Drosophila melanogaster: one gene and its partner. Changing the gene in region 1 together with any one later gene gives a genetic interaction. Each region holds a gene or a part of one and is shown on either strand. Other genes may lie near its edges.

Evidence for each region.
Region 2: of pxb (region 1) and hop, changing one enhances a phenotype caused by changing the other (phenotypic enhancement), as found in Drosophila melanogaster (one study listed by BioGRID).

Annotation. Positions count from the first base shown.
Region 1 is NT_033777.3:15,664,438-15,668,363, reverse strand, and holds the start of pxb (pxb), read right to left. Parts: upstream 2,182-3,926; 5' UTR 1,778-2,181; intron 387-1,777; exon of another isoform or gene 187-386; intron 132-186; exon of another isoform or gene 1-131.
Region 2 is NC_004354.4:11,366,249-11,370,174, reverse strand, and holds the start of hop (hopscotch), read left to right. Parts: upstream 1-2,076; 5' UTR 2,077-2,712; coding exon 2,713-3,774; intron 3,775-3,926. Other genes in the region: Tim8, read right to left, coding at 1,295-1,471, 1,550-1,639. UniProt on the Drosophila melanogaster protein: Tyrosine kinase of the non-receptor type, phosphorylates the marelle protein. Required maternally for the establishment of the normal array of embryonic segments: involved in the control of pair-rule gene transcription in a stripe-specific manner.

The DNA of each region.
Region 1 (3,926 bases):
CCTTTTTCGCCAGTTCCTCTTCGGCCGCCGGGCAGCTGAGCGTGAAAAACAGCCTCCTGAATTTTCCCCGGCTTTTCTGTGCGCTTTCGCTTTTCCTACGCTTTCCTCTGCTTGGCTGGACTTTGCTGCCGCTATAAATTTACAAGCGTATAACAAATATTTTCCTTTGTGTTTACAATTTCTTACTGCTTAATATTCCTGCGCGAATGTTTTGTTTCTGTCCGCCATATAGCGACTTATTTGCATAAGATACTTTCTGTTTGAGGTCTGAGCGAAGTTTACCTTGTAAGTAGCTTAGGAATTGCCATAAGTTGGCCTATTCAATGAACTTAGTTCTTTGATGCAGACTTGCCGCAGAAAGCAAATAAGATATTTTTAGTCATCGTCTGCACTCAAATATTCATCACTGGCACATCAAGTTTATAAAAAGGCCTATACTTCTTGCTGTGCTCTAGTGCACAGACGACACTTTTACTGAAATTTATGTTTCAACTACAGAGAAAAGTCAGTTGGCTTATAAATTTCAGGGGCACACGCTTGGCATACTAATTAGCCGAGGGATTTCATTCGAAAAAAAAGGCTAAACAGCAAGCGGAAATCCTGTGAAAAAGGGCCGACATGTGTACGACTCAATTCCGAATTAAAATTCATTTTGCCAAACAGGTAGAATGCTTCCCATTCACACGATTCAAATCGATTCAAAATCCAGTACCCAGAATCATTGTGACCGCAAGCAACAGTTCACTTGTCCGAGGACTTTTCGAGCTACCCACGCCACTCCAGATTGAGTTGTTATTATTATTTATATCCATGGCGACCACGATTCCCGTTTAACAACTCATTTAAGACCAGATCTTATCGCGATCCTTCGTACATCTTCTTGTCCGACTTCCCCAGCTCCAGCCATAAGCATAAATTTTATTTTGCGTGAATTTATGAGTTGCGCCGACGACAGGCGGGGTATACTTTACTTATTTACCAAAGGATTTACACGCCAAAGAATTGGGGAAAATAATGAACTTCGACTGGCTGCACTTGTTGCGCGTTTGCTAATAATTTAAACAAATTTACAGAATGGAAAAACACAGCGCTCGAAAATGCAGGTAAACAAAGGTGTCGCCTCAACTAGTATTTGGTTATAATTAAAGGTCCCTCGCAGTCTTTTCTTCTCTTTATTTTCTCGTCTCTTTGGCGGTTTCTACGCTTTGAAGAAGGGAAGAAGCCGCAGCTCCAGCGAAACCCAGAGATGATTTGTTTACATTCTGATGGAGCCGCATGGGTCGCCACAAGAGTTCTGTGCTTTATGGCTTGATAGCAGATAGCTGCACAGCTATCTGCTGTTTCCACAAAAATCACTCATCACTCGGGCGTAACTTTATATGGATAAACATATCTGTTCGATAGACACAACGCACACTTTCGGGGAATTTTGTTTGGAATCGGATATAATCCTTCACTTGCTTATTTGAATAATTCCCCAACTTCCTCCTATAAATCTCGTTTTTTACGGCCTCACTCCGCTGGAATGCCTTTTTTCAGTTCGTTTCAATTAGTAAGCACTGCACTCTGAAGATTAGAAAACTCAACTTTAAAACATACTTTAATGTTGTAATTCCCAAATCAAAGGGAAATTCCGTTGATCTTTGCTAAGAAGATTGTCACTCGCCTACAGAAGCTCAACCCAAAATCGCCAACTAATCCGGTGCGTAAAAGTTTTCAATTTCTCAGCGGCATATCCAGGTTTGATTTTTCATTTTCCATTTCCCTGCCCACTTACCCGCTTTTCTGCTTTTATAGTCCAACGGATATTTGTCAAGTGGTTTGATAAACTGTTTCTGCTTGTCTTTTGCTAGCTAATCAAATCGGTTTCGAGCCAATTGTTAATCCAATGTATTGCTTGCGAATTTCGCTTTGATTTTTGACAACTTTTCGAGTATCACTCAACACAGAATATTTGTGGTATTTGATTTATTATTATTAGTTTGCACGACGCGCGTATCGTTTGCTTGGGATTTGTGGTAAATATTTTCGTTGGTATTTATTTTCGTTTTCAGTAATCCACTAGTGATTCACATATCTTGAAAAAAGTCTCGTATTCCGTTCAGAGTTTTCTTTTCGATTATTGTGGCAACATGCGAGACACTCACGTCCGTTTCCTGCGACGTCGAGTCAAAAACTGAATTCCAAATTCGTTTCGAGCGACTGACGACGGCAGCTACATCTGCAACATGTGCAGCGGCAACAACACGACAGCAACATCGACATCGGTTGCCGCTGCCGAATCCAGAGAGAGAGTTCGGGGAAATGAACTTCCCGAGAGAGAGGATGAACTCATTCGGGCTCGTTCTAATCGGCATTTTCGCACATTTTCGTTGCAGTTGACATTCGCTGGCGCTGGAAAATTGTCCATGTTGCTGGCGAAAGTACAAATAAAATCATAAAAAAATTTACTTTAAATATTGCTTGGCACATTTTTATTTAAAAGTGCACACCTAGCTCTGTCTTTTCCAACCAAAGAATGTTTACGATTTGTTTACCTTGCATTTAAAATCGTATGCCGTTGAACTCTTATGTACATATCCCAAAAGATGTACAATCATGTAGTTTAGCAACCGTTGAAAAGTATTATTTTAATTCCTAATCAATTCCAATTATATTTGAGTGTCACCCAAAAACTTGTATGTATTTGCTATTTGTTCTCGTTTTATTTATCTACCGAGCCCATTAAGACGATTTATGGAAAGTTTCAGGAAAACATAGGTAGTTCCTTGGCTGTGATATTGTGACAGTCAATAACATGATAAACATCATAATCATATTTGAGAAAAGCCAAGCCCATTGTAAAAATATGAACACATAATGTTGAAATGGTAACTCAACATTTCTCATGTTGCTTAAGCTTGGGGATTAATTTCTTTTTTTATTAAACACATAAAAACTTAAAGCAGATTTAAAGACAGTCGAGCGATAATAAGTATGACTGATTTTTGAAAACAGATTTAGCAATTAGTTTTTTAAATAATAAGCTCATTAAATTACTCATCTAAGTGTATCAATTTCTGCACCTGTCCATTAAAAATGTATCATTCGAAAATGTCCCAATAAAACTAAATTATACTTCATCATATCGATTACCATTTTTTTTACCGGTAAGCAAAAATAACAACTTTTTGTCGTTCAATCAAGTGAAGAAGAGCAACAAAAACAACGACCACTATCAAGGTCAATGTCTGATGGGAGTGGTGGCGAAAACAGGGGGAGGCAGCGATTTCAGCATTTTCCTGGTTTTTTCTTCTTTGTTGCTGTTTTTCAGCTGCATGTAAAAGTGCAATAACAACAACACCAGCCGGCATGAAAATTCAATGTTATTTCTCATATCACCCAAGAAGTACTCTCTTTCGAAGTTGAACTTCGAAAATGAACTCGGTCTCTCTCGCGCTCACTCTCTCTCTCTCTCGCTCAATTGCCGTAGAAGTTGCTGGTGTCTTAGCAACATGTTGCTGATTGGTGCACACTCTTTTTTTGTTGCAATGCGATTTGTGTTTACGCATTTTTTTCGCACCTCCACTTACTGTTTACGTTTATCGTTATACTTTCACCTTCTGCGCCACTTTGGCCCCAGCCCCGCCCACTTTTCCACCATCCACCCACCGCATTCCTTCTGTGTTTTGTTTATAAACATTCTTAACCGTTTGTTTTCAATGCAATTCCATTGTGCCAGTTGCTGAAAGCAGATGAAAAAATTAGGTGGAGAGTGGAAAATGAGGAAGCCTATCTTTTGAATGGGCTACACTTAAAGGAATTTTGATGTAATATATCTAAGGGCCTAATATAGTTCTATATATATCTTTTATTTACCAAATGTAACAAAAATTAAAATTTATTTATTTATTTCTTTACAATAAATATCATCAAATATAATCAAA
Region 2 (3,926 bases), on another chromosome or scaffold:
GAAAAAAAATCAGCTGGCTGCTGTACCGTTACGCACACACATACACACACGTGCCCTTTCGGCAATTATTTGACTTTTCCTGTACTTGCTTTATATCATCATCTGTATTTACAACAACATCCCTTTCACACATGCAAGTGCAAGCAGGAGGACAACCACCACACAGAGACACAAAAAAAAACTAAAAGGTGCACCGTTAAAAAAGTTTAATGTCCCTTTTTTAGTCCTGCAGGCAAATCAAGGTAACTTTTCATGCTTCTCTTCACTTGATCCTTTTTCACGCTTTTCGCTTCTCCTTCTGAACTTCTACACTTCACAGAAACCGACACCGACTGTATATTTTGCTATGTATATTATACACGGACACACACTCACTGGCAAAAAGGACATGCGTTTGGCACAGCCTTCGGGCATTTTATGTTTAATATAAATAAGTAGCGGCAGCACGTTGGAGAATATATATTACGGTTTTCTGCTCTGCTCACGGGAACACTAGTTCTAGTTGGGATCAGTGTGACCAGAGGCGCGCTGCGTGTGCAGCCCAATCAGAAGTCCTGGGCAAACGTTCAAAGCGAGCGCGGGAAATAGGTCCGCAAGCATTGCAAGTATTACCTTTGGATTTAGCAGAAATGCATTAATATTACATTTAGTATTACATTTTATACAGGAAATGGCAGCTACATTTGTGTGTTCAAAGTTGCGTAAATATGAATTCCAATTGGAAAGTTGCCGATAGGTACTTATCGAGTGGAAGCACTATACTATCGATATGGAATAACTTTATTTATTCTAATAAACATTTAAGGAACACCTACTATTTCATTCTAAGCCCCTTTCCAGCCTAATTAAATTTAAATGTATGTTGAAATGATCCAATTTCAATTCTATTTTCCTTTCTGCATAATATTAAGCCATCTATCAACAATATTTCATCATTATAAAAGAAGAGATTAAAACTATCCAAGCAAAGGATTACAACACAATGCATTTTAAACGTACGAAACGAAAGATGTATTTATTTTCGGTACGCTAACGTAGGGCCGACCAAACAATTGAGTTGCGCTACCGAATTAAATATTAATTCCGGAACTCGAATCACGGATTTCAATTTCGGGCTGGGTGCAGACTACGGGCCACATACTTTGGATGTCGGCGGCGAAACGCAGCGCGGAAAAAAATGTGCTTACATGATAATTTTTTGTTTAAAAATAGATTTAACAGTAGGACAGTGACGGAAGCGTCCACGGACTCGGATACCCAGATCCCGGTGTCGGTGTCGATTAAGCGAACAAATCTACAGGTCGCCGCCACCTCGCTTTTGGAGCATCTGAGCGAACCGCTGGGTGATAAGCAGCGACGTGTCGATGAATCGGTCGACGCAGTTGCTCAGGCACGTCTCGGTGGCGTGGTCCAGCTTGGTACTCGGCTTGCCGATGCACTTCTCCCAGCAGATCTCGTTGAACTCGTGTATCTGGCGACGATATAATGTGCGAGGGCATATTGTTATGATTACGAATGGTTATTATGTGTATGGGGGAACCCGGCTCACCTGCGCGTTGACCTGTGCCTTCTGTTTCTCAATCAAGAGGAACTCCTGCAGCTCCTTGTCATTGCCGGAAAGGTTCTCAAAATCGGACATCGTGTGATTTTCAGTGAGCAATCTACAAATTGACCGGGCTCGTCCGGAATTTCATATATTCTAAGGTTTGAGGTTATATAAACGACACTGACAGCTGTGAACTGTGGAATTACAAAAATCGATGTGTATTCGATAGCAAAGCTATTCGATACTGGAAATGCCGTGCATATTGCACTGTTTGCACTGTTGTCATATTTAAATGGCAAGAATATAGACGCCATAGAGCAAATAACAGTATATTTTTTTTTCTTAAGCATCCTCCTCCTGCCAACGAGGGTATACAATTTTCAAGAATACATTTCTAAAGTAAGTTGTTATTTATATTTACTGAGAACTATCGAAAAAGAACTAGAACCTCGCGTTGCCAACCACTGGTTCGCAAGGTGCGATAGTACAGGTTATTGGACAATCGATGACAAAGTGGCTCGGCCGTCGGCCAATCGATATCGTGAGGTGCAAATTGTCCGATGAATTTCACTGAAATTCGTGGCTTGTATTGTAGCTTCGCAATTGCAGCTTCGTTTCGACAGCAGGCCCACTTTCAGATCGAAGGCGTCTATAATCGCCATCCAGTCCCGTCGCCCTGTTCCCACAACGCCCCACAAATTTCGGGATCTAGCTGGCGTTTCGGGTGTCTAATTTCGGACCAGTGCACTGTGATTTCCGATTTCCAGTTTACTTTGCTGACGGATCGCCCAAGTGGCGAAGTGGTTCTTGCTCGGAAAGTTGGCGCTTGCTAAAAGAAGGAGCAGTCCAGGTGGTTCCCCGCCAGTGGCATCAATGGAACTCGCGCTGGAGTTTGGGGCAACCTTGCAACTGCAAGGGTAAGAGCATCGCCGATTCCAGGAGCATTCGCAGTAAGCCCAAAAATAGCAACTCAAGTCAGTCGCGGTGGTCATTGTTATTGGCAAGAAGAAGAGGAAACGGATAGAACGCGGCAAATTCCTAGGAAAGCTCCCATGATCTAGCTTCAGTGCGGCCGCGTAAGGAAACTGCTCCAGCCAAGGAACTGGGCTTGCAGGAGCAGCAGATAGCACCCAGCCCACAAGGGACCACTCACCGACAATCCTCTCATGGCCCTGGCCAACGGGGGAGAGGATAGAATGGACGACAGCAGCAGCGGACGCACTTCGCTGGCGGACAGCGCCAGCCTGACGAACTCCTCGCTGCGCAGCGGCACCTCCTCGCAGAGCATCCACACCAACGATGGCACAATCCGTGTGTTCAACTTCACCACCGGCGAATTTGAGCGTTTCCATCCCAACATGCTGTGCGAGGAGATCTGCAATACGATGTGCCGCCAGCTGGGCATTGCACCAATTGCCCAGCTGCTCTACGGAATACGGGAGCACTCGACATCGCGACGTCCCTCGCCGCTGGTGCGTTTGGATCTGACGTGGTGCCTGCCCGGCGAGCGACTCAACTGCCAGCTGGTCTATTGCTTTCGGATGCGTTTCCGTGTGCCCGAATTGGATAGCCAGCTGGAGTTGATCGATGGACGGAGCCACAAGTTCCTCTACCGCCAAATGCGCTACGATATGCGGACCGAGCAAATCCCGGAGATTCGCTATCCGGAGCACAAGGACAAATCAACGGGACTGGCCGTGATGGATATGCTAATCGACGATCAGGAACAGTCGGAGGATCAGCAGGCGATGCGCTCCATCGAGAAGCTTTACAAACTGTATTTGCCACCGAGCTTGTGGCGCGCCCACAGCTTCTTTGTGGGCTCCAAGATACGTGAGGTTTTCCGCAGTCTAAAAGCGAATTCGCTGAGTGTGGAGCGTTTGAAGTGGCACTATGTGCATCAGGTATCCCATTTGGCGCCCACCTATATGACCGAACAGTTCACCTGCACCGTTCAGTATCTGCCCAACGAGGAGGTGGCCCGCGGTAGCGGACCCATCGGCACCAGTCTGGCCCACTCGACGTCGACGCTGGCCAGTTCTGGATCGACCAACACTCTGTCCACGCTCACCACCAACACCAATTCCGTTGCACTCGGCGGCAGTGGCAAGAAGGCCAAACGACGTTCCACCAGCGGTGGAATCGATGTCTATGTGCGAGTCTTTCCACACGATTCCCTGGAGCCTGGACTCAAGGTGGCCAGGGTCACCTCCGAGGCCACACTCAAGGTACACACTATGTTTCCTTCTGAAATCTTATATGGTTTCTTGTGGTTTTCCCATCGAAATGCGCATTTTAATGCTGGCCATTTTAAATATGGAAATACCATTAATATTATAATATTTAAAAAACATTTTGATAGATTTCTCAATTTAATTAA